Arabidopsis thaliana: one gene and its partner. The protein of the gene in region 2 interacts with the protein of the main gene of each other region in a pairwise test. Each region holds a gene or a part of one and is shown on either strand. Other genes may lie near its edges.

The links.
Region 1: the proteins of TUB4 (region 2) and PLP3a interact in a two-hybrid assay, tested with the Arabidopsis thaliana proteins (one study listed by BioGRID).

What each region holds. Positions count from the first base shown.
Region 1 is NC_003074.8:18,933,382-18,949,300, forward strand, and holds PLP3a (thioredoxin domain PLP3A-like protein), read right to left. Parts: upstream 7,048-15,919; 5' UTR 6,932-7,047; exon of another isoform or gene 6,863-6,931; 5' UTR 6,846-6,862; coding exon 6,762-6,845; intron 6,626-6,761; coding exon 6,551-6,625; intron 6,477-6,550; coding exon 6,429-6,476; intron 6,344-6,428; coding exon 6,201-6,343; intron 6,115-6,200; coding exon 6,042-6,114; intron 5,951-6,041; coding exon 5,889-5,950; intron 5,803-5,888; coding exon 5,705-5,802; intron 5,620-5,704; coding exon 5,510-5,619; 3' UTR 5,316-5,509; downstream 1-5,315. Other genes in the region: AT3G50940 (P-loop containing nucleoside triphosphate hydrolases superfamily protein), read left to right, coding at 705-1,691, 1,779-2,147; ZAR1 (HOPZ-ACTIVATED RESISTANCE 1), read left to right, coding at 2,746-5,304; LTI30 (dehydrin family protein), read left to right, coding at 7,444-8,025; XERO1 (dehydrin xero 1), read left to right, coding at 8,653-8,835, 9,137-9,340; AT3G50990 (Peroxidase superfamily protein), read left to right, coding at 9,774-10,031, 10,127-10,318, 10,399-10,564, 10,806-11,224; AT3G51000 (alpha/beta-Hydrolases superfamily protein), read right to left, coding at 11,877-12,135, 12,219-12,460, 12,561-12,740, 12,828-13,118; AT3G51010 (protein translocase subunit), read right to left, coding at 13,499-13,666, 13,949-14,070, 14,391-14,667. UniProt on the Arabidopsis thaliana protein: Tubulin-binding protein involved in microtubule formation.
Region 2 is NC_003076.8:17,852,774-17,868,821, forward strand, and holds TUB4 (tubulin beta chain 4), read right to left. Parts: upstream 8,378-16,048; 5' UTR 8,222-8,377; coding exon 7,828-8,221; intron 7,698-7,827; coding exon 7,428-7,697; intron 7,340-7,427; coding exon 6,669-7,339; 3' UTR 6,363-6,668; downstream 1-6,362. Other genes in the region: ABCI9 (Stabilizer of iron transporter SufD superfamily protein), read left to right, coding at 138-1,130, 1,194-1,309, 1,369-1,453, 1,530-1,748; AT5G44320 (Eukaryotic translation initiation factor 3 subunit 7 (eIF-3)), read right to left, coding at 2,128-3,894; AT5G44330 (Tetratricopeptide repeat (TPR)-like superfamily protein), read left to right, coding at 4,552-4,743, 4,831-5,043, 5,123-5,271, 5,347-5,415, 5,497-6,283; AT5G44345 (F-box associated ubiquitination effector family protein), read left to right, coding at 9,340-9,447, 9,586-9,610, 9,692-9,952, 10,155-10,306; AT5G44350 (ethylene-responsive nuclear protein-like protein), read left to right, coding at 11,855-12,859. UniProt on the Arabidopsis thaliana protein: Tubulin is the major constituent of microtubules, a cylinder consisting of laterally associated linear protofilaments composed of alpha- and beta-tubulin heterodimers.

The DNA of each region.
Region 1 (15,919 bases), on a different chromosome or scaffold from region 2:
ATTGGAACGATACATAAAAGATTAGTATAGTCCGCATAAGACACGCATAAATCGAAATATAATCCAAATTATTTTCAACAAAGAAAAAATTACTTTTCAAGAAAGTAAATATTTTGCTAACATGTCATTCTAACATTAAAACTACTATTACAATTTTCAAGTATAAAAGACAAGTCAGCATATATGTTAAGGAGCAAAGACTTTGCATTTTTGCAGCGAGCCAGCGACCAGACTCTAGAAGTCTGTAGGGGCTATCAAGTTTTCATTTTTAACGATACTTTATCAAATGGGCCGTAATCTTGGCCCACTATAGACCATTCATTTAGTGTTCCATCACCATTTAAATAGTAATCTTTCATTCCCTAATTATCTCAATCTTATGATCAGAGGTATTCGTGAAAATTTATTATTGATCGCAGAAGCCTTTCATCAAATAAAAGAGAAGAACTGGTATCAAATTTTCTCCTTAACCTTAACATTTTTTTTTTTTTACTTGTTAAGATTCCAATTTGTGTGCTCATCGTAAAATTATCAAAAGAATAGCATCGTTTGTTTAACCTAATCAGATTTATCCCCACGTAACCTAGTAACAAATACAGTACTATTGTTCTATAATCAGATTTTTTTTTGGATTAGTTTCTTGTCTCTTTGATTTATGAGAACCGACTTGAATGTATTTATTTTATTTTTGATGATTGAAGGAGATGAGTTCCTCTAGTGAATCTCATCTAGCCACCGCCAAAACAGCTCTCACAGCGGTTGCATCAGTTGCTGCAGCCGCAATACTAGCTCGATCAGTGGTTCAAGATTACATGCCAAACGAGGTTCATGAATATATCTCTCACGGCTTTCGCAGATTCTTCAGCTACTTCTCTTATCAGATGACAGCTGTAATAGAAGAATTTGGAGGTTTTGAACACAACCAAGTGTTTGAAGCTGCAGAGGCTTATCTCTCCACCAAGATATCTAATTCCACTAGAAGAATCAAAGTTAACAAACTTGAGAAACAGAGCAATTATAGTGTTACTGTTGAACGTGATGAGGAAGTTGTTGATATTTTTGATGGCGTCAAGCTTAGTTGGATCCTTGTATGTCGCCATGTCGATAAAAAGGATTTTCGTAACCCGAGAGATCTCAACTCCACTTTGAAATCAGAAGTGCGTAGTTACGAGCTTAGTTTCCGAAAGAAGTTCAAGAACATGGTTCTTGAATCTTATTTACCGTTTGTTGTGGAACAAGCTGCTTCTATTAAACAAAAGTTTAAAACATTGAAGATCTTCACCGTTGATTCTTACTCCGTGGAGTGGACCTCTGTGACTCTAGATCATCCTTCCACGTTTCGCACTCTCGCTCTGGATCCCGAGGTGAAGAAAAACTTGGTGGAGGATCTTGATCGATTCGTGCAGCGGAAAGGCTTTTACGGGAGAGTTGGAAAAGCTTGGAAGAGAGGTTATTTGTTGTATGGTCCTCCCGGTACTGGAAAATCAAGCTTGATCGCAGCTATAGCTAATCATCTTAACTTCGATATCTATGACTTAGACTTGACATCACTTAACAACAATGCTGAGCTACGGAGGTTACTTATGTCTACTGCAAATCGTTCCATTCTAGTTGTGGAAGATATAGATTGTTCAATCGAGTTAAAAGATCGGTCTACTGATCAAGAAAACAACGATCCGTTACATAAAACGGTGATGCATTTTGATTCACTATCAGTTATGTTGTTATGTGATCTTTTGCTTATTAGCATTACTAATGTTTTGGTTAGTCATTTTCAGGTCACACTCTCTGGTCTATTGAATTTTGTAGACGGACTATGGTCAAGTTGTGGTAACGAGCGGATTATAGTGTTTACGACTAACTACAGAGAAAAATTGGATCCAGCATTGTTGAGGCCAGGACGTATGGACATGCACATTCACATGTCGTATTGCACACCAGCTGCTTTTAAGGTTTTGGCTTCGAATTATCTCGAGATTCAAGATCATATACTTTTCGAGCAGATTGAAGAATTTATCCGAGAAATTGAAGTTACACCAGCAGAAGTAGCTGAACAACTGATGAGGAGTGACTCTGTGGATAAAGTACTCCAAGGACTTGTTGAGTTCTTAAAAGCCAAGAAGCAAATAGATAATTCAAAAGCTTAGAAGAAATTTAGTTCTTTTATTTGTTTCTTTGTTAAACACTATCATGCAATTATTGGTTATAAAATGTTACAGAAAGTGAAATCATTTTTTTTTTTCCTAAGTGAAATGCGGATATTGTTTTATGAGGTCAGAACATGTCTAAACTCAATGATAAGATTCTAAAGTAGATTGAGACAAGTTTCGTAGTCGGCAGCAGTAACCAAGAAAACGAGTAAGGTTGACTCTTGACTTGTTAAACCATTGACTTCAATTTCGATAAAGTCTCTATGTAAGCTCATTTTTCTGAAACAAGTTTTGCTAAAAAAATCCAAAGATCTGAAGCTTCAGATCCTTCTCGGCTAAGGCTAAGTCACAACCTTGTAAGTTTACTTTACTTTGGTTAGATTTGTTTCAATGTTCTAGGATTCTACATGTTTCTTGAGAAGATATGGATTAGTTAAAGAATAATCCAATCTTTTGGTTATTGAGATTCTATAGTCGTTGGTTGATTGATTTTTGGAAAGTTCAATCTAGTGATGATACACATAACCGATTGAATTATTGCTTGGTTATAGTTTACCAATTAGAGATATTTCTTGAAGTTGCAGGGTCTGAGTAAATGGTGGACGCTGTTGTAACAGTGTTTTTAGAGAAAACCTTGAACATCCTCGAAGAAAAAGGCCGAACCGTATCGGACTACCGAAAACAGTTGGAAGATTTGCAAAGCGAATTGAAATATATGCAGTCTTTTCTCAAGGATGCAGAGAGGCAGAAGAGAACTAATGAAACGTTGCGTACTCTTGTTGCGGATTTACGAGAACTGGTTTACGAAGCTGAGGATATACTTGTGGATTGTCAGCTCGCGGATGGTGATGATGGGAACGAGCAAAGGTCATCAAATGCGTGGCTTTCGCGGCTTCATCCTGCCCGGGTTCCGTTGCAGTACAAGAAAAGCAAACGTTTGCAAGAGATCAATGAGAGGATAACGAAAATAAAGAGTCAAGTAGAGCCTTATTTCGAATTCATAACGCCGAGTAATGTTGGAAGAGATAATGGAACTGATCGGTGGAGCTCTCCGGTGTATGATCATACTCAGGTGGTTGGTTTGGAAGGAGATAAAAGAAAAATCAAGGAGTGGCTCTTTCGATCAAACGACAGCCAGCTTTTGATAATGGCCTTTGTTGGGATGGGAGGGCTAGGTAAAACTACAATCGCTCAAGAAGTGTTCAATGACAAAGAGATCGAACATCGTTTCGAAAGAAGGATATGGGTGTCTGTGTCCCAGACTTTTACTGAAGAACAGATCATGAGAAGCATATTGAGGAACTTGGGGGACGCGAGTGTTGGAGATGATATTGGAACATTGCTGAGAAAAATCCAGCAGTATCTTTTGGGGAAAAGGTACTTGATAGTTATGGACGATGTATGGGACAAGAATTTGAGCTGGTGGGACAAGATCTACCAAGGACTGCCTAGAGGACAAGGAGGTAGCGTTATCGTGACCACAAGGTCGGAATCTGTAGCGAAAAGGGTGCAAGCGAGAGACGACAAGACTCACCGTCCAGAGCTCCTTAGTCCTGATAACAGTTGGCTGCTGTTTTGTAATGTGGCATTTGCAGCAAATGACGGTACTTGTGAGCGTCCCGAGCTAGAGGATGTTGGCAAGGAGATTGTAACGAAATGCAAAGGTTTGCCTTTGACAATCAAAGCGGTTGGTGGGTTACTTCTGTGCAAAGACCATGTCTATCATGAATGGAGACGAATTGCAGAGCATTTTCAGGATGAGCTAAGAGGAAACACTTCTGAAACTGACAATGTTATGTCTTCTCTGCAGTTGAGCTACGATGAACTCCCTTCCCACCTTAAGTCGTGCATTCTCACGCTTTCGCTCTATCCAGAAGACTGTGTTATACCAAAACAACAACTAGTACATGGATGGATCGGAGAAGGTTTTGTCATGTGGAGAAACGGAAGATCTGCAACTGAATCTGGAGAAGACTGCTTTTCCGGGCTCACAAACAGGTGTCTAATAGAAGTTGTAGACAAAACCTATAGCGGAACCATCATCACTTGCAAGATTCATGACATGGTTCGTGATTTGGTGATCGATATAGCCAAGAAGGATTCGTTCTCTAACCCGGAAGGCCTCAACTGTCGTCACCTTGGGATTAGTGGAAACTTTGATGAGAAGCAGATCAAAGTTAACCATAAGCTGAGAGGCGTAGTGTCAACAACTAAGACAGGTGAAGTGAACAAGCTCAACTCAGACTTAGCTAAGAAATTCACAGACTGCAAATATCTTCGGGTTCTCGATATCTCGAAATCCATATTTGATGCTCCTCTGTCTGAGATTTTGGATGAGATTGCAAGCCTTCAACACTTAGCATGTCTTAGTTTGAGCAACACACATCCGTTGATCCAGTTTCCTCGTTCCATGGAAGATCTCCACAACCTTCAGATTCTAGACGCAAGCTACTGTCAGAATCTGAAACAACTTCAACCTTGCATCGTCTTGTTCAAGAAACTCCTTGTACTTGACATGACGAACTGTGGATCCCTTGAATGCTTCCCCAAGGGTATCGGAAGTCTCGTGAAGCTCGAAGTTCTGTTGGGATTTAAGCCAGCCAGGTCCAACAATGGGTGCAAGCTCAGTGAAGTGAAAAATCTCACAAACCTTCGGAAACTTGGTCTTTCTCTGACTCGTGGCGATCAGATAGAAGAGGAGGAGCTTGATTCTTTGATAAACCTAAGCAAGCTGATGTCCATTTCGATCAACTGCTATGATAGCTACGGCGATGATCTCATAACCAAAATAGACGCCCTTACTCCTCCACACCAGCTCCATGAGCTTTCTCTACAATTCTATCCTGGAAAGTCGAGTCCATCGTGGTTGAGTCCTCACAAGCTTCCGATGTTGAGGTACATGTCAATATGTTCAGGTAATTTGGTGAAAATGCAGGAACCATTCTGGGGAAACGAGAATACTCACTGGAGAATTGAAGGTTTAATGTTAAGTTCATTGTCGGACCTAGACATGGACTGGGAAGTGCTGCAACAGTCAATGCCGTACCTGAGGACCGTGACCGCAAACTGGTGTCCAGAGCTAGAGTCTTTCGCGATTGAAGATGTTGGCTTTAGAGGCGGAGTGTGGATGAAAACACCATTGCACAGAACCTGATGAAACGTTTTAAGCAACTAGATCAATGTTTATTAAACAGTGACAATAAGTTGGTGTATTACATATACCTTGATACAATGTAATGTTGCTTTGACCGTTTGGATTTCATATCGCAATTTTCTTTTCTAATAATCATATAACAAACGAGCAAAAAGGGAAAACAGAGACTAGCAGCAATGGCAGATCTTTGATGTCAACTGCTTGATCAGTCAGAATCAGAGTCCAGATTCTCTGAAGACCTAACAGACCTCCGTATGCTCTCTTGATATTCGGCGTCTTCATCATCTTCCTCTTTCTTCTTCTTGCTGAGCATTCCTGTTAAAGATTTGCACTCTTTAAGCAAAAATTCTCTAACTGGGCCGTTATAATAAAAAAAAGGTGGGACCGAGGTTCTTCATACCCTTTTTAAGAAGAACGTTCTCTAGTTTATTCGTTGTGAAATCGTCCTTGGTTCCCAGATCCTGGAACCCAACTAGCCTATCCATCGCAACTCCCTTGCTAAGAATGGTAAAGAAACTCGTACTTTATGAGTATACACCTAACAACAAACCCTGTATGTAAGAAGGAATAGAAAGAGGCGAAACCTGAAAAGCACAACGCAAGGCAAAGTCTTTATTGCAAGCTTCGTGACAAAGAAAGGAGCATTCTGCATTTATTTCAGCCAAGCATTAGCTTCAGCAAAGGATTGTTGAAAAGCCATTTCCTCTTATAAAACTTTCATCAAATGGTTCACTAACCTCTGCGTCCACTTTAATGAACTTTGTGTCCACATGTCTAGGTGCAAGAGTTTTCAGATGCTTGTCCATAATCCTACAGTAATGCAGTAAATATGTTTGGTTATGAGCTCATATACATATCAGAAGACGAACAAAAAATAAGCTGATGAGAGATCTTACTTGCACCGGTAAAATTCCTTATGGTAGAAATGACATATCACTTTCTCACTCCTGGTGACTTCACCCAAGAAATCTCCTTCACTCACCTCTCGATATTCACCATGCCCTTGTCTTTTAAACGATTCTCTCTTCTCAACCTCTCTCTGTCAAGATAAAATCTTGAAGATTTTAGTTCATACCAAAAGCTGCATAACTATATAGGCCACAATACAATGCCAAAGTTATAACCTTTAGTGCTGCAATCCTATCTGCGTGCAATCTTTCTAGCTCTGGATCCTACAGAACATAGACAAATAAGTCTACCATAGAGACCTACGCTTAACAGTCACAACAAGCAACATTGCACTTACATCCATAAGTTCATCAAGATCAACCTCTTCATTAACAGGATTTGATCCTTGCGCCTTCTCATTTGCAAGAACTTCCTACAAAACCCATATAAAGAACTCATCAAAACCATACAAGTAAGTCCTCACAGGTAATCTACTCAGACAAAGAAACATCAAAAAAACTCATAAAGTCTATCACTATTTCAAAAACAAATTGAGAAACATTCTTTACCTTTTGATAATTTCTTGCAGCAGCCGCCATTACATTTCCAAATGCTAGATTCGAGAGAGTCGATTTGACTGCATCTGGATCCATCTTTTAACACCAAAAATCTGAAACAACAGCATGAAAAAAGCATTAGGATTCAGAGATAAATGAGAGCTAAAGCTTCAAAATCATACCTTTTTCAATTCCTTCCTGATGCGAAGAAGAAAAATAAAAAAACACAGCTTGAGAAATCGAAATCAAAGCTTTTTTCCTTTCTTTACTAACAATTTCAAAAAATCAAAAGATGAACAACAAAGGTGGAAGAAACATACCAAACGACATCGTTTTTTAGTTTAGTAAAAGATATGCATTATTGGGCCTTTCATATCTAAAGGCCCACAGGCCCATATAAGTTAAAATTACGTCGGTCGCTAACCACTACTACACCGACGTCTTACTTGCCATGTGTGTGTGACTCTTAATCAATTACGAATTGAATATATTACTTTTACGATGTCGGCCAACACGTATTGAGTAAAATATCTATGTGATGATGAATTCCTATCCAAAATGAAATTTGCATCTCTATAAAAGTATCATTCAAGAGATCATTAATCTTCATCGATCAAAGTCTTGAATATTTCATCTATATATACCTAAGAAAGAAAAGAGTTAAAGAAGTATATTTTCGATTCAAAGAAGAAAAATGAATTCTCACCAGAATCAAACCGGAGTGCAAAAGAAGGGAATAACGGAGAAAATCATGGAGAAGCTACCAGGTCATCATGGACCTACTAACACTGGTGTTGTTCACCACGAGAAGAAAGGGATGACGGAGAAAGTTATGGAGCAGCTGCCAGGTCATCATGGTGCTACTGGTACCGGTGGTGTTCACCACGAGAAGAAAGGAATGACGGAAAAAGTTATGGAGCAGCTGCCAGGTCATCATGGATCACACCAAACTGGAACCAACACAACTTATGGTACTACTAACACTGGTGGTGTTCACCACGAGAAAAAAAGTGTGACCGAAAAAGTTATGGAGAAACTACCAGGTCATCATGGGTCACATCAAACTGGGACTAACACGGCTTATGGTACTAACACTAATGTCGTTCACCATGAGAAAAAAGGTATAGCAGAAAAGATTAAAGAGCAACTGCCAGGTCATCATGGAACTCACAAAACTGGAACCACCACAAGTTATGGTAATACTGGCGTTGTTCACCATGAAAATAAAAGTACGATGGATAAGATTAAAGAGAAGCTTCCCGGTGGTCATCACTAGATTGATTAACAACTTGTTTAAGCTTATTTTAAGTATTTGTGTGGTGTAATAATATGATGATGTGGCTTTCTTTCATTGAGTCGCTAAATAATATATGTAAGTGATGGATCTTTGAATTAATATAAAATATCTACTTCTGGTTTCGTTTATTTATCTTTCTATCGCTTCAACTATTCCATGTTATTAAAATACTTGTGAGTTGTGACACATACAACCACGTATAATTCACATGTAATTATTTGGTAATTCAATTCTTTACAAGTTTATATGTTCTTTTGCATACAAGTTATCAGGGAAACGACCGCAGTTGTTTGGCAATGTATATTACTCAGGTTTTCAATTCAGGCCCATACGGCCCAAATAAGTTGTTTTTACGGATATCGAGTTAAAAGAGGTGTGTCGATTATAACGGACATGTGTCACACTAACCACAAAACCAACGTCTTACGTAATCGCCACGTGTGTCACTTCAACGCAATTTGATAATAATCATAATACTATATGTGATTATGATCCCTATCCAAAGTTGCGGTTCTATAAAAATACCATTCAAGAGCGTATACATCTTTATCCATCAGTGTCTTAATTTTGTCTATAGCTAAAAAAAGGTTCAATTGTAAAAGGAATATGGAGTCTTACCAAAACCAGTCCGGAGCGCAGCAGACTCACCAACAGCTTGACCAATTTGGAAATCCATTTCCAGCCACCACCGGAGCCTATGGAACTGCCGGTGGAGCTCCAGCCGTGGCTGAAGGTGGTGGTTTAAGTGGCATGCTTCACCGTTCTGGGAGTAGCTCTAGCTCTAGCTCGGTATGCTTCTGTTTTACGCAATTGCTTTTGCAATATTTAGTGTACTCTTTCTATATCACCAAATACAAGAAGTTTCATTTAATTTGACTTCACCTAACTAGAAAAAATCAGGAAACCATATTTTAGATTTAACTCTACATATTTTTTATAAACCATTTTTTGTGTTCAAATGATAAGTTTTTGTTTGTAATTTGAATTATATTCAAGGTATACCATATATTTAAAATTACTAAATAAAATATGGAAAGTGTTGCAAATACATATAGCTTTTTAATTTTTCTGACGATTTTCATGCATGAAGGAGGATGATGGACTAGGTGGAAGGAGGAGGAAGAAGAAGGGAATAACGGAGAAGATTAAAGAGAAGCTGCCGGGTCATCACGACTCCAACAAGACTTCTTCTTTAGGTTCTACAACGACGGCCTATGATACCGGCACCGTTCACCACGAGAAGAAAGGCATGATGGAGAAGATCAAAGAGAAGCTTCCGGGTGGTCATCATTAGTTTCATTTTAATTAACTTGTTTGGTGTGGGTCGTTACGCTTATGGTCGTTGCATGGAATAAATTATAAACCCTCTCTTTTTCGTAACATTTATGGCTCAGGCTCTATTGTTTTGAGTGATACAAATTAAGGTAATGTTAGCACACGGGTGGGTTCACGATTCTAATCGACATCTTCCCATTTAAAATAACAAAGGGATTTTGACGTTTTCTATTCCCAACACAAAGGAAGACAAAAGAAGGAGTGAAAATCGGTAACTATATATAGATGTAACGAATCTTATATCCAAACCAACACTCACAATTAATGTATCCCCCCATCCAACAAATTAAAAGCCACGTTGACGTGACAAATCATACTTGGTGACGCCTTCCTCTATAAATTATCCAACCATGCATTCATCGTCATTCCCACAATAATCGCTGAGAGTCCAAATGAATACAAAAACGGTGAAGTCAATGGCGGGCATTGTTCTCTCTCAAATCTCACTTGTTGCGCTGTTTCCTCTATGTATTTGTTATCAAACACATCAAAGCACGAGCTCTGTAGCCTCTCTATCCCCTCAGTTTTACGAGAACTCGTGCCCAAACGCACAAGCCATCGTTCAATCTTACGTCGCCAATGCATACTTCAATGACCCTCGCATGGCTGCCTCAATTCTTAGGCTCCATTTCCACGACTGTTTCGTCAATGTTTGACAAAATCTAGTCTATTCTTCAGATATATAATGTTTTGATTTAAATAAGGAGAAATGTTGTTTGATATATATATACTCTGGTTGGTGCAGGGATGTGATGCTTCCGTACTATTGGACAGTAGTGGAACCATGGAAAGCGAGAAACGATCAAATGCAAATCGAGACTCTGCTCGAGGGTTCGAAGTCATTGACGAGATCAAGTCTGCCTTGGAAAATGAATGTCCTGAAACAGTTTCTTGCGCCGATCTATTGGCTCTCGTTGCTAGAGACTCTATTGTTATTGTAAGTCAATTCTCTAACACAATCATTAGGATTGATATATAATTGATACAAACACTCGTTACTTTTGTAATTATCTACAGTGTGGTGGACCTAGTTGGGAAGTATATCTTGGAAGAAGAGATGCAAGAGAAGCAAGCTTGATTGGTTCCATGGAAAACATTCCTTCTCCCGAGTCCACGTTACAAACAATTCTCACTATGTTCAACTTTCAAGGACTTGATCTCACCGATCTTGTTGCCCTCTTAGGTATATATACTACACTCGTCCAAGATATTAATGTGGTTGAATTTAAAGGGGTCTTAAAGCAATTGTGATTTTATGGAAGAAACTAATTAAAAGTATAAATAAATGTTAATAACGATGTTTGTGATTGGATAAGAAAAGTTATCTTATCTCTCTATTAAAGATTAAATGCCCTAAAAACTAACACATTGATAAATTTAATTATCATTTCTAAATTGAACTAATAACCATGATTCAAATGTAGGGAGTCACACGATAGGAAACTCAAGGTGTATTGGTTTCCGACAAAGGTTATACAACCATACTGGAAACAACGATCCCGACCAGACTTTGAATCAAGACTACGCCTCTATGTTGCAGCAGGGATGTCCGATTTCGGGCAACGACCAGAACCTCTTTAATCTTGACTATGTGACGCCGACTAAGTTTGACAATTACTACTACAAGAATCTTGTGAACTTTAGAGGACTCTTGAGTTCTGATGAGATATTGTTCACGCAAAGCATAGAGACTATGGAGATGGTCAAGTATTACGCGGAGAATGAGGGAGCGTTCTTTGAGCAGTTTGCGAAGTCGATGGTGAAGATGGGGAACATCTCACCGTTGACGGGGACGGATGGTGAGATCCGGAGGATATGCCGGAGGGTTAACCATGATGTTTGAGAGAGTTTCCATTATTGGATAGTTAAAAGTCCTAAGCGTTTGGTTAACGACTTAACGTTAATCTTTTTTTTTTTTTGTTAAATTTGATTTCTGTTGCCATTGTGTTTAATTTATTTTTATTTGTTCTAATTAATTTATGAGTTTGGTGATTGTATGGTATACCAAAACGTCAAAAACATAACGATTTTTATGGCAACTGAAATTGCTAATGAATTTGGAATGTGATGTGCCTATACTCAACAATACAAATTTTGACGTGACAACTCCATTAGGTGAAATATCTTTCTCGAAATTATGGATGTAACTTAAACATCTAAACTAGAAGTATCGGAATGTTTTTAAGAGGCCCTAGAAACATAAGGAGTGATGTTGTAAAGGAGTTTTGTTTTGTTGTTAGAAAATTTCAAAGTGGAAGTGAGACACATGAACAAATTTGTCGCACTTTTACAAGTTGTGTTCTGGAGTAAACTTTACACTCTTGGCTTTTGTTCAAAGAAGCACATAAAAAAGCTTTAGACCTTTCTTTACTTTAAGAACCATTATTATTGCCGAGATCACACTCGGGTTTCGTTCTTGAATACACATTATTAGTAGTTTAATTAAGACTAGAGCATCATGGTTCTTCTATAAGGCCACAGAGAACGGTATGATTTTACTCTGTTTTGCTTAACTTGTTTAAGAAAGAGAGAATCTCTTGAGAGACTTGTTCAGACTTCTCCTGCTGGATAAAATGATGACCACCTTCAATAACAACTATCTCAAGATTAGGCACAACAATCTTGAACACCTCTCCTTTCACATACTCCATTGTTCCATTAGGTCCTTCATATCCGATATCTTTGTCTCCCGCTATAAACTTAGTAGGAACGACGATTTTGGAGTCTTGCCACGGCGCCAATATCTCCCAATTCCTGTCACATTGCACATTTTCAATACTTGTTTTTGTAACAACAAAGACTGGAGATAAAGTGAGAGAGGGAAGTGAACAACTTACATATCCATGGATCTGTAGTAATTCAAAGGGCCAGTGAATCCAGATCTTTGAAACTTTTCCGCATACACTTGAATCTCTTCTTCTGTTATCCAATCTGGAATCGTCGACGGTATCTCAAGATGATCTATGATCTCTGTGTCAGGAGGAGCCACTAAGTAGTCTGTTCTTGTTATTAGCAAGAACTTCTTCATTACCGATAAACAATCATGCTTGGCAAATGCAGCCTCAGCTCTTCCGGGTTTCTTGTAAAAAACAGAACCGAGAAATCGAATCAACGACAACAATGAGTACCATAATAGTAACACTAACATCATAAATCTTGAAAGTAAATTTGGGTTTTACCTGAAACTGAGTGATGTATAAACCATCTCCAAAAATTTTGAAAAAATCTGAAGGTTTGAGTTTTGGATCTCTTGGGAAATATGGAACAGAGAGACTTATGAAACCTTTGACTCGGTCTGGTCTAAACAAGCATAGACACCAACCTATGATTGCTCCCCAGTCATGCCCAGCCACAAAAGCCTACCACAGTAAAAATGTAAACTTTCTTCTCCACAAATCTATCTATCTAAATCTAAACGCTGGATTCTCAAGAAGATCATTTTTCACCTGAGTAGTGCCGTAGTGATCGAGTAAACCGATGACATCAGCGACTAGGTGACTCACAGTGTAAGACTCGTGGCTCGGTAGAGAATCGGAGTCACCGTAGCCTCTGAGATCTGGAGCGACCACGTGGTAACCATGGCTAGACAAGAAATCGATCTGGTGACGCCAAGAGTACCATGTCTCAGGGAAACCATGGAGTAACAGAACCAAAGGCCCTTCTTCGTCTCCTTTCTCAGCAACGTTTAACCAAATCCCGTTGGTCTTGATCTTCTTCTCTCTAACAGAGCTCGTCATGATTCTTGTTGGTGATAGTTGTGAGAGAGAGGAGGAAAATCAGCGACCAAGGTGAAGACTTTATCACAAGAGTTGAGAAATGGATGCACACATGACGTGGCGGAATATGAAATCAGGCCTCTAGTTAGATTACACGTGGCGGTAACTGGTCCTGATTCAGTTTCATGGGTTGCCGTAAGTAAAAGAATGTCAGCCAAATTCATGAAACAAGAAACACATGACTGGATATAAAGAACACAAACGTCAAGTAACTCTCAGTTCTTCAGACAACATAGCGAGTTAACTCTCAAGAGAACATGCCAAACACAACAAAGAAGAGTAATTCTCTAACTCAAGACAAGAAAAGAGATTGTCATTTAGGATTATTTCTATGTTTGATCTCAAGAAGACATTGATTTCTTCTTCTCTTCTTCCAGCTGTTGAAGCTCAATCAGTCTTTCAGCCCATGCTCGGTCCCTAGCGACAGCAGCCATCTTACGTTCCACTTGCTTAATTCTCTTCTTCCTCTTCGCCTCTTGCACCAGCGCTTGCCTCTTCTTCTTCTCAGACTGCGAAAAAAATATATACACGAGAACTCCATCTTATTAGTAAACTAAAAAAGAACATTGCAGATTGTTTTGTAAATGGAAACAGAACGGAGAAGCTAAGAGAGATACAGCCTTTTATCATCCCATAGGTTACTTATGATTTCTCAGCTTTCAAACTTATTTCTCATTTGTACAATCTATTGATTCAACATTCCAACATTTCTCATCTAACAATGTAGAGCTATGCAAAGATCAAAAAGCTATCAAAGTTCTTAAAACAAGCTAGAAAGAAATCAGACAAACCAGTATAAAAGCACGACGCTGCCCTATGCGCTTCTTCGCATTTCTTCTCTTCACACTTCCCTCATTAGGATTGTTTGAAGAAATTGGCTGGCCAGGTGTATATTGAACGTATGCATAAGGCCCTGCATTATCCTCAAATCTTTTAATTCATCTAAACAATCCCACCGTAGATTATCTCTGGCTATATCAACTTCTCAGTAACAACACCCAAAATTGAGATTCAAAACAATCACTTTCCACTTAAGATTACACAAGATCAATACTATACCCACCAAATGCTAATTTGAAAACAGCATAAACAACACCCGCCTAAGAAGATTACACTAACTCCATTCTGAATCACACAACATTCATCTCTAATTTCACAAACAAAGCATCAATTTTTACAACCCCAGACTAAAAATGAAGCTCAAAATCAACCATCAAACACAAAATAGCGAACCTGGAGGTTTCAATTTGGATCTTTTCCTCTTGGGATGAGTCATGGGTCGTCTCTTCGGGAGCCGAGTATCAGTCAAGCTTAAGCTATGAAAATGGTTAGCCATTGGAATCCATGGTAACCTCAAATGAGTCATCGATCCACCGAAGAAGGAACATAACTCGGGTTTAGCAGCCGGAATCGTCGCATTGAACGGCGCAGACGAGTAGTTAACGACGGCACGCGAAACTAAGGTTCTCGACAATGGACGCAAAATCGATCTAATTGCACCGAAACCCATTTTCACCAAAGCATCAGCGAACAGATTCCGATCCAAAAGCTCCTGGATTTACCGATCAAGCTTCGAAATTATCACTTAGCCGATTCCAACAAAGTTCGAGACTTGAAACGAAGAATTTTTCGCTAAACCCTGAATAGTCTAGTAAACACTAATGGGCCTTATGGGCCTATAGTGTAAGGGCTTATAATTGAACATTGGGTCTCAAAGAAAAGACTCATAATAACTAAAATCAATAATTCGTGCGGATATTATTAATTATTGTCTCCAAATCTCATTAAATGTTTTGGCGAGAATTACGTGATATTCCCTAAAGATCAACATATACATTTTTACAGCCATTTATTTACATGAAATAAATTTTGGAGTTGGGATTTATTTACAATGCTTGTCACTGACATTAATTATTTAGTTAAAAAAAATTAAAAAGATATTAACCAAACTATATCTTGCCTAATTTGTTTCTAAAAATCTCTACACAATCTTTTCATATATCTTTTTAAAAAAAAAAATCGTGAATTTTACTTCAAAAAATATGCATAAATCCGATTTATAGCAAATATTTATATCAACATTTTGCATAGCAATAAAAATACTAATTTATAATAATTAAATATTCACATAAAAAACCATATACACATACAAGAAAAAAAAACTATATTTATCATCATTTAAACCGTTCTTTTATTTAAATTAAAAGCACAAAACTTGAAATCATATACTTTATATGATAAATTTAAAATCTATATTAGTAATATAAATTTTAAATCATTCAAGGAACGGTATACCACGGGTGAGATCCTAAATTATTGGAATTAGAACAATAATAATTTATTTTCTTGGATTTTATAACACTAATCATTTAGCTAACGAGATAATATAGACAGATTTATATGGGATGACGGGTTTTGATCAATATTAATAAACAAAGGTATATCACAGATGAAATCATAAAATTAACAATCAAAATACAATCATACAACCTTAAACACAAAAACATACAATATTAACAAAACAAATATAACTTAAAATTTTAAAAAATAGCTATAAAAAATCGACATGCGGTATACTGCGGATAAAATATTCAAAATTTTAAAATCTACCATACATTGTTACTTAAAAAAATATATGTTTTCATATCTATACTTCAAAATTTGAAACCAAAATAATAGTAATCATATACTAAATAATACAGAGATAGATATCTATATTTTAAAATACAAATTAATATGATATATCTTCAATTAATCTTTTA
Region 2 (16,048 bases):
AGTAAAAAGATCCCTTACTTGGTAGACACGCGACTATCATTTTTTCCACACGTAAAAGGAAAAACATATTCAATGTTTTTACTTGATAAGAAAAAGAAAGAAAAAAACTTCTTCTACTTCGCCTTGGAAGCACAACAATGGCGTCTCTTTTCGCAATCGGTTTCTCCAAATTTTCTCCACAACCCACTTCCGATTATTCCAAATTACTAAAAGTGTTTCATCCAAAACCCTATTCCTTGAAATTTCTATTTCTCAAAACCCTAAATCCTACTAGGTTTTTCAAAGTCAGAGCCAATGATGGAACCGAACCATCTGATAAACTTCAACAGTATTTCCAGAATCAAGATTACGATAAGAAATACGGATTCCTTGAAAACATCGATTCCTTCACAATCCCTAAAGGTTTATCTGAAGAAACGATTCGCTTGATATCGAAGTTGAAAAAGGAACCAGCTTGGATTCTTGAGTATAGGCTCAAAGCTTATGCTAAGTTTCTAAAATTAGAAGAACCTAAATGGTCAGATAATAGGTACCCTTTGCTTGATCTCCAAGATATGTGTTTTTACTCTGCTCCTAAAAAGAAACCAACTTTGAATAGTTCAGATATAGCTGATGAAGCTGATGATCCTAAGCTTCTTGAGGAATTTGATAGATTAGATGTTCCTTTAACAAAGAAGAAGAAATGTTCACCTAAAGTTGCGGTTGATGCGGTTTATAATAGTGAATCGATAGCTATTACTAATAAGGAGCCTCTAGAGAAGTCAGGTGTGATCTTCTGTTCGATATCCGAAGCTATAAGGAAGTATCCGGATTTGATCAAGAAGTATTTAGGAAGAGTTGTGCCTAGTGATGATAACTACTACGCGGCTTTGAATACCGCGGTTTTCAGCGATGGATCGTTCTGTTATATACCGAAAAACACTAGATGTCCGATGCCTCTTTCGAGTTATTTTCGGATGAATTCTATTGAAAACACTGGTCAGTTTGAAAGAACTTTGATTGTTGCTGAGGAAGGTAGTTTTGTTGAGTATTCAGAAGGATGCACTGCTATTTCTCATGACAAGAATCAGCTTCACGCTGCTGTTGTTGAGCTCTATTGCGCTGAAGGAGCGGAGATTAAGTACTCGACGGTGCAGAATTGATATGCAGGGGATGAACAAGGTAAAGGTGGGATTTACAATTTCGTCACAAAGCGTGGTCTCTGCGCTGGTGATCGTTCCAAGATCTCATGGACTCAAGTTGAGAAAGGGTTCGCGATAACTTGGAAGTATCCAAGCGTGGTTTTAGAAGGAGATGATTCCGTTGGAGAGTTTTAATCCGTATCATTGACTAATAACTACCAGCAAGCTGATACATGGACCAATCCAGAGCTGAGAACGCTAGAAATACTTCGACTTGTGACTCGATGCTTATTGGTGACAATGCAGCCGCTAATACATATCCTTACATACAGGTACTTTGTATATGATCATCTAACCTTTTATTATAAGGTTATGATAAAAGCACCTCTAATGAAGATCTTATAACAGGTAAAGAATCCATCGGCGAGAATAGAGCATGAAGCAAGTACTTCAAAGATTGGAGAAGATCAGATTTTCTATTTTCAACAGAGAGGTATCGATCATGAGAGAGCATTAGCGGCAATGATCTCTGGATTTTGCAGAGATGTTTTCAACAAGTTGCCTAATGAATTTGGAGCCGAAGTTAACCAGCTTTTGAGCATTAAGCTTGAAGGATCAGTGGGTTAAACAAATCTCACAATTACTTAACATTAAAGAAAGCTTTACTTGTGCCCAACAAACTGCTAACAATTTTAGGCTTTCAATAATTAATTTTGGCTTGAGAAAACTGATATATAAACACTTGAGAAAAAGCATATTCTCGATCAGAAAAGAGTCTCACGAATAATCAAAGATGCTACTGTTCTCTAATGCCGGAATATCAATGACCAAGCACCTACCACAGTGATGACCTTTTAAGTTCAAAGAGTTAATTCAAAAACAACCAAGAAAGCATGAACCAACATTTTGGAACATAAATAGTCTATGAAAAAGTGAACAAGCTTTCGAACATTTTTTAAAAGTAACTCAAAACAACACGACTTGAAATATACCCATATCATCAAAATCAGGCTTCAACTTCGGATTTCTTATCCTCTACAGCTACATTAGTAGAGGAAACCCCATTAGTCTCTGCTCCTGCATCAGTGTTCTCCTCAGGTGGCTGAACCTGTTCATCTTCAGGGAGTGGCTCCTCCACATAATCATTGTCAAATGCATCAGCCGGAACTTCGTAAATCCTAACTTGAGGCTTCGATGGATCCTTCACTAGAACATACTTTCCTTCACTTAACTTCATACACAGATCAACAATCGACTTCACAATTCCCCACATATTGTTAGTGTTCAGATTGATCTGCCCAGCGAAATCTTTCGGCTTATACCCCAAAACCGATAATATAACATGGTTAAAATGATCACGAGGATGAACCCTCGAAACAAACCCAATCTTCATCATATCCGCATTAGCCAAGAGAGCCTGCGCAGTCCATTTAGCTAACTTATTACCATTGTTCTTCAACTCATTAGCTAAAACCGCACCTCTCTGAGTCTCAAGCTTCTGTCTCCAATCAACACCAGAGTACTTAGGATCAAACTCGTTAAGAGCATTCAAAGTTAAAAACGATCTCTGGTTATTCAAATCAACAGTGCTCTGTAACTCACACCTAGCAACTAGATACATACTATCATCAAGCTTCCATCTCCTATACCTATAAGCAATAGAAGCATTCTCTTCACCTTCATTAACATTAGGAATTGGCTCATCAAAAGTTTCCCTTTTCCCATTCTTAACCAAAACCTGCTGAGCAAAATTCTGATTAATATAAGCAGCCTCCAGACCTAGAGAATGAGCAGAGTTAATATCATCTTTACCCTCAGGCAAAGGCTCTTGAGAAGTCTCATGAACAGATAACAAATCAAGCGGTGACCCATCTCTCTTATCAAAGAAAAGCTTATTCCCAACACGTTGAATCACAAGATCCCATGAATAAACCGATCTAGGAGCACACATAAGAGCAGCTAGAATAGCATCAGTAGCAAAAACAGTAGCTTTATCTTCTTTAGCAAGACGTCTGATCACAAGATCATCACTTGTAGTAACCTTAAAGCTTCTGTTCTTGAAACGCTCAAGTCTACGATCAGCTTTAGGAGTAATACGATCAAAACTCCGATCATAAGACTCAAGTCCACCACAAAGAAGAAGATCTTCAGGTTCAGAAACTGTAAACGAAAGCTTAGAGAAAGTCGAAAACGGAATCTGCTCAAGCATATTCCATTCCGGTTGAATATCAACTGATGATTTAAACGCGGCGGCTTCACGGCGTTGCTGATGAATATTGTTACGATTGTTATTGTAGAGACGATCACGACGAGCTCGATCTTTCTCAGCTTCACGTTTCTTAGCTTCAACTTCTTCATCACGACGTTGAGGAAGCTGATTTCGGTTATGGTATTGATTGAATCTCCATTTAGGTCCGAATTTAGGACGCGGCGGTGGTTTTCCGTCGACTAATCGGAAAGCGGCGTCTTCGTCGGCGTTTCCACCTGAGTTTGTTAGACCAAATCCTTCATCTACTGCAAAAGCTGAGAAATCGAAGATCGCTGATGGATCTGATTTGGATCCGGTGTGAGGACGAGCTGATGGATTTGAGAGAGCTCGAGTCCAATCAGCAACGCGTCCGAGTTTTTCGGATCGTGAGAAGGAAGCGAAGGGGACGTTTGGGAGGAGATTCGCCGCCGCGACGCTGGTGGAGGAAGTGTCGGAAGCATCTGGTGGTCCCCAACCATCGGAATTGAATGGGACTGTGCCGACTTCGAATGCTTCAAACACCATTGTTGAGATTTGCGAAGAAGATGTGCGCAAGTGAAAAATTTGTATTTTATTTTGTCAACAATGAAAACCCTAGCCCTTAATGGGCCTCAATGGGCTTTTCTCTTGTCATAAGAAACTCTAGCCCTTTTAAGCCCATTATTATCTCACTCAGTCAAAAGGACGTCGGTTTAAGCTAACCAATGCTTTTGGTTTGGGCTATATTCTCTCAATCGAAATTTTGGGTTATATTCAACCGTACATTTATTAAGGAATTAAGAAACCGGCTTAGAACCGGTTCATGATCTGTTAACCAATAACTGAACGTTGCACTTCAATTCAAAAGTTTACGAATTTGTACTCGTCGCAAAACTTATTTTATTTAGATCCTTGTTTTTATATCCATGTCTCACTTCTTTCCCCTAAGTTTTTCATTGGTTACTTAAGGTCCAACTATATAAAGACTTTTTTACTCTCTTCTCTTCTTCAGAGAAAATTCAAAAAGAATCTCCAATTTTCTCGGGAAAATTTCTCCATTAGTCTCTTCTCTTTTCCGGCTTGGAATCGCTTTGCTTCTTAATCTTTAACAAACACGTTCCATAGAACCCCAAAAATTTGATCATCGGAAACATTTTCTCGGGGAAGTAAAGAAGATTTTCCCGAGAAAAGAAGATTCTCACTATGCGGCGTCGTGAGAGCCGTGGTGCTAAGGGAGGAGGTTTCTTGACTCCACCACCGTCATGGCACACGACGAGAAGAGTTTACATTGCGATGCCGATTTCGGAGAGGAAAAGATCACCTTTGATCGAGAATCAAGAATCGTTTAGGGTTCGTACTGGTGATTCTCCTTACGTCAGAGCCAAACATGCTCAGGTAATATCAATATAGGGTTTTTAGTGAATTGTATTGGTTTATGTGTATGAACGTTTGTTCTTGACATGGAATTGTTTTCAATAACAGTTGGTTTCTAAAGACCCGAATCGAGCTATCTCGTTGTTTTGGGCGGCGATTAATGCTGGAGATAGAGTTGATAGTGCATTGAAGGACATGGTAGTTGTTTTAAAACAGTTGAACCGATTCGATGAAGGAATCGAAGCTATCAAGTCTTTTCGATATCTCTGCCCTTTTGAATCTCAAGATTCTATTGATAACTTGTTACTTGAACTCTACATGGTAAAACTTTCTCAGTATGACTAATTGTGAAGCTATTTCTATGCTCAGTATGTGATTTTGATGGATTTTGGTTTTGCAGAAGTCTGGGAGGATTACAGAGGTCGCTGAGCTGCTTGAACACAAACTGAGAACACTTGAACAAGACAAACATTATGGTGGCAGGATCAAAATAGCGAAAAGAAGCCATGAGGAGCAGAATAACAAGACAATCGAGCAAGAGAAAGCACGGCAAGACAATCTCCCATCTCCGCTTTATACCTGAAAGAGTAGTTTCTCTGACTTTCTTGGTGTTTGGATATGTAGGATTCTAGGGAACTTAGCTTGGGTTCACTTACAGCTTCATAACTATGGAATTGCAGAGCAGTATTACAGGTTTGTGAAACACCATCAATCCCATTAAGAATGTTAGTTTTATCATTGCCTTAACAAGTGAAATGGGTTTTACTGTGATAGGAATGCTTTGTCTTTGGAACCTGACAATAACAAGTTGTGCAATCTTGCAATCTGTTTGATACGTATGGAAAGAACCCATGAAGCTAAATCTCTGCTTGAGGATGTAAAACAGTCTCTAGGGAATCAATGGAAGAATGAACCGTTTTGCAAGTCTTTTGAACGGGCTACTGAGATGTTAGCAGAAAGAGAACAAGCAACAGTAGCGGATAAACCAGAAGATTTGCTGACAAGTAGCTTTTCAGATAACTTCTCTTCGAGATGTTCAGGTGGGATGAAAGGAAAGAAGGCTCTAGCTGGAACTAGCACTGAACTGGGTAATATTCACAAGACAAACTCGCATGCTTCCTCTGAATCGGTTGAACAAAACTCACCAGGTCTGACTACACAACCCCGGGAATGTAAATGGGTAGATGAGGAAGTAGATCAGAGTAAATGGGATGCGACAATTGGTGCTTCTCGAAAGCTCAGGTTCTGGACAGTTGGTCCTGTTCGTAGTCTAAGATTCGGTAATGATTATCAGAAGAACTTGAAGAGTGTAGGAACAGCAGCCTCGACTACTAATGACGAACTGCATCAATTCATCAGTAGTGATGCAGATTGCATGACAAGCAAAGCAAGGAAGCTGTGTCCAGAATTGATCAAAGATAAGGAAGATAACGAAAAAGAAAGTGAAAGAATTGCTTCAGAATCTTCTTCAGCTTACGCTAAGATCACAGACATTGGTCAAAGAAAGGTTCTTCACATTGATCAAAGAAAGGTTCGTCACATTGGTCAAAGAAGTGTTTAGGCTAGACATTGCTACACTAATTGATGTATAGATTGAACAAATGCAGAAATGAATTTTTGGACCAGTGTTATAGAGTTGCTTGAAACTGAAATTTATTTTTCGTGTATGGCTTTATCTCCTGAAATGAAAGCTCCGAGCGAAATGCAACACAAAACTTAAGAGAACAAAAGCAATATTTTTTTCACCGACAAAAACAATAAGCAATACACGCAAAAGTTTAACAAATCCAGAACCGATATAGGGTTTCAATAACAAAAACGAACACACATGAACGAAACAATAAAAGAGATATTACGAAGAAAAAAATTCAGGATAAGGGGAAAGAAGAAAGTGAATGCTGCTTGCTTACACAGCTTACGAATCCGAGGGAGCCATTGACAACATCTTAAGTCTCGTACTCCTCTTCTTCCTCCTCGTACTCTTCCTCTCCGGCTGTAGCATCTTGGTACTGCTGGTACTCTGCGACAAGATCATTCATGTTACTCTCTGCTTCAGTGAACTCCATCTCGTCCATGCCTTCTCCTGTGTACCAATGAAGGAAAGCCTTTCTCCTGAACATAGCTGTGAACTGTTCGCTCACACGCCTAAACATCTCCTGGATTGAGGTTGAGTTACCAATGAAAGTAGACGCCATTTTCAAACCCTTTGGTGCAATATCACAGACACTGGACTTGACGTTGTTTGGGATCCATTCCACAAAGTAGGATGAGTTCTTGTTCTGAATGTTCATCATCTGCTCGTCAACCTCTTTGGTGCTCAGCTTTCCACGGAACACAGCGGATGCAGTCAAGTAACGTCCATGACGAGGGTCAGCAGCACACATCATGTTCTTTGCATCCCACATCTGCTGGGTCAGTTCAGGAACACTCAAGGCACTGTATTGCTGTGATCCTCTCGATGTCAATGGTGCGAAACCAACCATGAAGAAGTGAAGCCTTGGGAATGGGATAAGGTTCACAGCGAGTTTCCTAAGGTCAGAGTTAAGCTGGCCAGGGAAACGAAGACAGCAAGTGACACCACTCATTGTAGCAGAGATGAGATGGTTAAGATCACCAACTAATGAAAACACAAAATACACAAAAACAAGTCAGGACTCAATCACACTACATGAATACACAAGCTGCAAATGGAGAAATGTACTCACAGGTAGGATTAGCGAGCTTGAGGGTACGGAAACAGATATCGTAGAGAGCCTCATTGTCCAAAACCATACACTCGTCAGCGTTTTCGACAAGCTGATGCACAGAGAGAGTTGCATTGTATGGCTCAACAACAGTGTCAGAGACCTTAGGAGAAGGAAACACTGAGAAAGTCATCATCATACGATCTGGATACTCTTCTCTTATCTTAGAAATCAATAGAGTTCCCATTCCAGATCCAGTTCCTCCTCCCAATGAATGACACACTTGGAAACCTAAATCCAAACAACAAAAACCATACACATCACAAAATGTACATAATCAACAAAGACCTAAATCGATTGTAATCATTCTCGTTCCACGATTCAAAAACTCAGATCCAGATTCAAAAAAATTGTTCCTAACCTTGAAGACAATCGCTGTTCTCAGCTTCCTTCCTCACAACATCGAGAACAGAATCAATCAACTCAGCACCTTCGGTGTAATGACCTTTCGCCCAGTTATTTCCGGCACCAGATTGACCAAAGACGAAGTTATCAGGACGGAAAATCTGACCGAACGGACCAGATCTGAGAGAATCCATGGTACCAGGCTCCAGATCCATAAGAACAGCGCGAGGAACGTACTTTCCACCGCTAGCTTCGTTGAAATAGACATCGATACGTTCAAGCTGTAACGGAGAATCGCCGACGTATTGACCGGTGTGATCAATGCCGTGTTCGTCGCAGATCACTTCCCAGAACTTTGCTCCGATCTGGTTTCCACATTGACCGCCTTGGATATGAAGGATCTCTCTCATTTTTTTTTTTTTTGGTTTCTTCGTCAAGAGCAAAAAAAAAATGAGAAGAAAATGGGCGACTCTTTTTTTTTTTTCTTGTCCTTGGCTTTGAATAGGTTTAAAAAGAGGGATTTGTTGAATAGGTAATAATCAGCTATATATAGTTTACGTCTTCTTCAATAAGTTTTCTAAAATAGTTATTTTCAAATTGGTCCTTATAGTTTGTTTTATCTTGTACATTGTAACATGATAGTTTTAGATAATTTGTTTTTGTACTCTGCGCTGTATGACAGCGGAGGATTTCAAAATATATCTGTACTGTCCCACTTGTCTTGAAGATATTTTTACTATTTAAGTTTATTTTTAATAACAAGAATAGAATAATCATATTCGGTAATAGTACAAAGAAAATTAGTTTTTTTTGCCGTTTATAGAAATTATAACATAATGACAAATTACATTATTTTTGAAAATTGAAAATTTATTGAAGGGAGAGATTCATTCTAGTTAATTTGAATAGTATTCGACTCAGGATCTGCTAAACCGGTTTTGGATACAACGATTATGCATAATTAAACAAGTTTTGACTACAGAGATCATATAGTTGGGCCCTCTCGATAGTTGAAAAAGGCCCATTACTTTTAGTATAGCAAAACAAATATTATGAAGCGTCTCTAAATGATCTAATACACACATTAAAATTTTCAAAATGTTTTATCACACTCTCCTTCACTGATTTGTTCTCAGGGGCGGTCCCTACTAAGGCCGGAACAAACATAAGTTGGGACCTCTCAATAATTTAAAAAGGCCCATCATTTTCAGCAAGAATGATCTAAATTAATTAAGAGTTAAGACCTACATCTTCCTCTTCCGCCTCCAACTTTTTAGTGTTCTTTTTTCTTCTGAAGCCCTAGTTTCTCTAGTTTTACTCTACAACGAACGAGTCTCTAGGGTTTAAACTTTTAGTGTATCCACTATGGAAATTCACTGCAAAAAAACGTCTTTGAGAATCATCTAACCGTTACCTTACGCGACACGCGACCAAAGAGCTTAGAGAATAAAAAAGAAAACTCATTACATATTCCAATTGATCTCATTATCGAGATATTCTCGAAGTTGCCATTTAAGTCTATAGCTACATGTCGATGTGTATCGAAGCATTGGGCATCCATACTTCGTCCTCCAGATTTGGCTCGCCCGCAGCTATTGTTTGCCTACGTAAAAGACAAGAAGTTGCTCTTTTTCTCGTCACCTCAACCTCAGAATCCGAATGAGAAGTTGCCTCCTCTTGTCGCCAGTTATCATATGAGTTTTCGTCCTCTTGATATGTATAACTATAAAATTTGTAATCATGTCAATAGTTTGATCCTTCTAAAGAATAGAAGGAAGGAAAAGAAGGAAGTGGTGCAGGTGATATGTAACCCTAGCACAGGACATTCGTAAGCTTACCCAAAGTGGAAACGAGTAGTGATTGGATGATAAGCTATTTAGGGTATGATCCTGTTGAGAAACAATACAAGGTATTGACATGGTTTGATGGTTTTGAAGAGTATCAAGTTCTCACATTAGGAATTGGAGAACCGTCATGGAGAAACATCAAATGCTGCAGACCCCATTTACATTATCCTTTGTATAAAGGGATATGCATTAACGGTGTTTTGTATTACGTAGGTACAGTCACTGGGTTGTTAAAGGATTTCATGGTCGTTTGCTTTGATGTTAAGTATGAGAACTTCAGATTCGTTGAAGAAGGTTTGGAAACCTTCATTAGAAAGGTTATGGAACCCTAATAAACTACAATGGTAAATTAGCTACAGTTATGTCCAATACGTCGTCTATATTTATTTATAGATCAAGTGAGAGTATTGAATTTTGGGTTCTAGAAGATGTCGATAAGCAAGAATGGTCAAAGCATATACATGTGTATTGCCAGCTTTGGGGCATAATGTGATAGGGGATGCTTACTTACGCCTTGTTGGAGTGACTCAGAGAAATGAAATTGTGTTGGCGACGTGCTATGCTGTGCCTTTCTACCTCTTCTACTACAATATGGAGAGAAAGACAATCATAAGACTTCAAATCCAAGGAATGGAAGTTTTTCCTTAAAAAATAGTTAATATCTTTCTAAACCATATAGAGGACGTGAAGCTTTGGTAAGTGATGTAATTAGGACTTGAGATTTTTGTAATAAAACTAGTTTGGCTCTAGGTTGGATCATATTTAATTATTTCTAATGATTTCTTAAGCTCTTATTAATGATGTGCGCTTGAGACTTTTTCTTTACACTATATAAGAGTGATACAAGAATTCAATCAGCGAAGGAGGTGAAACAATAGACTTGAATATTTGATACAATGATTGAGTATGGTGAAGATCATACTATATATAAAGATCCCAACATGGAGTGATCACTGGTGATGTACCTCATGCATGTGTTATATATAACTGTCATTAATTAATTGATAGAGGTAAATTTTTCTGCATCTCTTTTTGTTTTGTTTTCTATTTATAATAAGGAAATTGGAACCACTACTAGTTCCTACAAGCATGGAAGCAAAGTGCATTACATGGAGTTAAGGGAAATAAACGTGAATGACTCTTTGTTCCAATTGGTTCTCGGTGATTTGCAGAAGCAAAATAAGAAATAATAATTGGTTAATTCTATTTCTTATATATTAGTACAGTTTGGTCGTTGGTTTAGCACTTGACCAATTGTTGACTCATCATTAATCTTGTTGGATAATTGTTTCACCTAATTTACTCTTTTACTGTGAGCAATGGTTGTTCTAATAAGTTAAGATTTGAGATACCACACACATAGAACCTCTTTAGAACTAGCCATATTAATTGCTGGTATGAGAGGTGGATATGTTGATGATGATGCGTGCTGTTAGATGCCGAATCCAAAAAAAATATAGTAAATAATTGCAGTTTGTAACTAATTATTAAACAAAATTGACAATTGTTTAAACGTGATAAATCCAATGCTTGGTTTTAAAACATTTTGGTGCTGGAAAATTGTGTTTAAGAAAAACTTATCCTACTTACAATTTGCAAATTATAACTAGCTAGTTTTGATATCGACCTTTATCGAATAATCTAAACTTTGTAAAATAAATGGCTTACAGGTTCATGCCAACCCATAAAAATTGCTTATAATAGATTCCATTTAAATGAGATCAAAGTCACTAATTTAGATTTCTATATACTCTTAATATTCTAAATTAAATCATTTAAAAATAAATTAATAGATCTTTAACGTACTCCTTTAAACTTCTAAAAGATTTTTCCAAAATTTTCAAACATATAAAGTAACAAAAAAGCTAAATTTCCTTTTATAATCAAATTTTTAATCGGTTTTAACTTTAAAACTTTAAAATAATTAATTTATATTTCTCTCTTTCCGTTTTCTCGACAATTACTCATCATTTAGCTCGTGTTTTAAAAAACAACACTAAACAAAAACAAAGTGATCTCTCACCTTCACTTTCTGCGCTCCTTCTTCTTCACTCCTATATATTTAAAATGCTTCGACCTTTGTCACTCAGAAACTTCATCAATCTCTCTTCCAACAAAAACCCTAACCCTAATTCTCTCAAGACAACTCAAAGGTCTCTCCTTTTTTAGGTTTATTATCACTTCCGTATAATCGCCATGTCTTCTCTACCATGGAAAAAACCAAAATCGAGTCGAATCTTAAGATTCATTTCTGAGTTTCAACAATCACCGTTCGTTGAAACTGGCTTTCCAACTTCTCTGATCGATCTCTTCTTCAAGAATCGCGATCGTCTAAAAAAATCTCCATCTAAACGCTTCCAACGAATCGAACGCCAGATTCGAACCGCTCCAAACGCTTCTTCGTTGAGTAATCAAGATACGATTTTTGAAAAGCCCTCGAGGATTAAAACCGTTCGAAGTAAGGTCGAGAAAGTTAATTGCGTTAAAGGTAAATCAGCGGCGTTGAAGAAGAACGCGATTAAAAATAGCGTTTTCGGCGGTAGCGGTGAGGTCGTTTTGATGGCGTTTAAGGTTTTGATAGTAGCGTTGCTCGCCTTGAGCACGAAGAAGAAGCTCACTTTAGGAATCACTCTCTCTGCCTTCGCTCTTCTCTTAACAGAGCTCGTGGCGGCGCGTGTTTTCACGCGCTCTAATAACACCGACAAAGACAAAAACGCGATTGCCCGCGAGAAAATCGAAACTTTTGATGAAACTCGAGTTCCCAAAGCGATTCCATGTCCTGAGGAAACAGAGCATGTAGTATCTGAAACAGAGGTTTCGAAGTTGAAAGGTTTAACGATACGTGATCTGTTGTCAAAGGACGAGAAATCAACAAGTAAAAGTTGGAGACTAAAATCGAAGATTGTGAAGAAGTTGAGGAGTTACAATAAGAAGGATAAGAAGACGATGAAGATCAAAGAAGAGTCTTTGATTGAAGTCTCGAGTTTGGTTTTAGAAGATAAACCAAAGAAAATTGAGTCTGAGAGAGACGAAGAAGAAACGTTGAATCCTCCAGTGGTTGGATCAAACCTGAATGGGATTGTTCTGATCGTGATTGTGCTAACCGGTTTGTTATGTGGGAAGGTCTTAGCTATTGTTCTGACACTATCATGTTTGGTTCTTAGATTAGGAGCAGTCAAAAAAGTTAATCTTTGCATATAATTTTTTTTGTATTTTTTAACATGCTTGCATGTGAAACTGTAAATTTTTCTCATTCATATGAAGGAGATTGGATTGAATGTTGAATACTTTCCCAAATTATTCACAATCTTAAGTTTTAACGAAATGAAATAAAGAATATTAGTAATAATTTAAACACAAACCGAAATATATTTTTGCTTTTGGCGTTTTCATTTATACTTTTACAAAAGTATTATCTTTTGAACAACTAAAACTATTTTATGTTTATAAAGTATGATTTACTTTTCTTAAAAAGTGTTTTTCTTTTTTCATATAAGAGCAGAAATTGCTATTGAAACAAATCAAAGTTTGTAATGAATGATCTAGAGGTTAGTGCTAGTTTCGATGGATTTGAGCTAGATGTTTCTAATCTAATGTTTAGGAATCTTTTCCACTTGTTTTGTATATAACTCTCTTTTTGGTGATTAATTAAGTTAACATTTCATTTTTGAAAAAAGTTTGGTGAAAGTGTTGTTTTGGAATATATATTAACACCAAAAGAAATTGTTAGGTAACGTATTAGTATTATTTCAGAAGTGCTTGTAGTAGGTAAGTGAAAGACGATTAGGTTTCACTCAGCTAAATAGCAGTGGAATGTGAAAATAGTGATGGTAGGTTTTGTAGCAATATTAATTAAAAGACATGGCAATTATTAACGAACAAAAAGTAACCAATTAGGTTCCTGTCAGCCAATTAGCCAATAAAACGGTTAAGTTAAGCCTAGTTAACTTGTGTTAAAAAGTTTGGAGATCTCACTTTGATTGGAGATCAAGACCAAATTGTTAGTGTTGTGCTAATTGTAAAGTTGTAATGATTATGTCAAATGTGATTTGGTAAGAGATGGGTTTGCTAGTTGTGATAAAATACATAATTTGGGAAATAGCAAATTAACCAATCAAAATCTGAGTACTACACTTGAAATGGTTTTTCTTTTTTTAATTATTATACTTTTGAAGGTTTAATTTTTTTTTTTTGTTTTGTTATGTATCTATACTTTTAATCGCGATTCGTGAAATTCTAAAAGAATAGTATAACTAAGAAAGTGTAATCTATTCAAAATAATTTTTAATTTCTAACGCTTACAAATAAAATATAGTAGATTGTTGAATCATCTTTATAAGAAACATGAAAACATAAGATGATTGTTGTGAATAATAATAGACAAAGAAATCAAATCAAGCTTTTGGAAAAGGTGAATATATATTTACTGTAAAGCTTGATTAATAAAACAATGAAATACGACTAAGAAAGGTGTCGGACAAAGAGAGTGTCTTTGGTTTTTGATTCGATAGATCTTTTACCTAATTCAAAATTAACTTAGTGGCAAAGCCTCCATTGTTGGGTTTTTCTTATTTTATTGTTACATACTTTTGTTTTCTTTTTTGGGAGAATTACTGTAATAGAGTATAAATTAGGTGTTATTATCAGACAGAACTTTTTTTTAATCCTGTTATATTTTCGTCCTTTTCTTATTACCCATCGTGCTCTTACTAAACGTTACCGGAAAAAATGTAATTACAAGGAATGTCACTGCTACGTCAGAAATTGCTGACGTGGATTAAATGAACTCAGCCGTAACGCGATATAGCGGCAGTCACGGCTGAGTTACGGTATGTTGCGGCTGACTTACGACAAAAATATATGAGTCATACCAAAACGACGAAGTATGAGTATAACTCAGCCAGACGTTACGGCTGATATATAAAATGTTGTCTGAGTTATACGATAACTCAGACAACGGTATGACTGAGTTAAGGAATGTTGTCCGAGTTATAACAAACTTATAGCATAACCCAGACAATGTTATGGCTGAGTTATGAGAAAACGGCTGACTTATTTCCTCGACACGGCTGAGTTATATTTTTGGACGGCTTAGTTATAGGATGATGTGACGGCTGAGTTATGATCGAGTGTTATAAATCAGCCGTAAAGAGCATGATTACTAAATAACTCAGCCTTGTGACGACTGACTTATGTGCAAAAGATTAATTACTATAATAGCATGCAGTTACGGCTGAGTTTTTAAACGTTACGGCTGAGTTAGTTGAGTTATGACATAACACGGCTGACTTAACTTTGTTTTTTTCCTGTTTTTAATTACTGTAATAGTATTCATGTTGCGACTGACTTATAGATTTGTTTGATGGCTGAGTTATCAAATGTTCGTTTGGTGGCTTAGTTGTCACCCCATCAATTCAAAACGACATCGGCTGTAATATTCCATGTCATCATTCCATGTCAGCATCATCAAAGGGCAAAAAAATAAAACCAAATTTTTTCAACTCGTCTTCTTCACCTGAGTTTTTCACATCACTGGAACTTCTAATTCCTCATCGTTTTCCTCATTTTTCTTCAATTTCTTACATCCTTCTCCCGATATAGTTGATCCGGTTCCGGTAATTGTTGTTTTTAGGAATTGGGTATAAAAACACAAATATATATTTAACACCGATGAAAGAGGGTGTAGACTTGTGCAGATAGATGCGGAAACAACACACGACAAACTTGTGAAGTTGGTGCTCGATGAAAAAGTTAGATGAAATGCTGCATCTCTTATTGTTTCGCGACAAATTTACATGTCACGGCTGAGTTATATGCTTAAGGGAAGACGAAAGGTTCAGTCAATTTACATGTCACGACTGAGTTATATGTTCCAGAAAAGACGAAAGATTCGATAAAATTACATTACAACAGAGTTATATGCTTAAGGGAGAACGAAAGATTCAGTCAATTTACATGTCACGGCTGAATTATATGTTCCAGGGAAGACGAAAAGTTCGGTAAAATTACATTACGGGTGAGTTATATGTTCAAGGGCAAACGAAAGATGAGTGTATATTATATGTTACGGCTCAGTTATATGCTTCAGGGAAGACGAAATGTTTGATAAATTACATGTCATGGCTGAGTTATCATTCAGGGAAGACGAAAGGTTGTGTAAATTATGTTACGGCTGAGTTACATCAAATTATGGTTCAGTTACATTACGTTACGGCTGAGTTACATCACTTTACGGCTGATTTATAATATAGATTGGAAAACAACATTTTTCTGGGGAAGACAATATAAAATTTATTGGCCAAATAACAACAATCAAATTAAGAAACGTAAGAATATGTTTGAGGGATACATAGGAGGAAGACGAAACCGTATGAATCAAAACGTTGATAG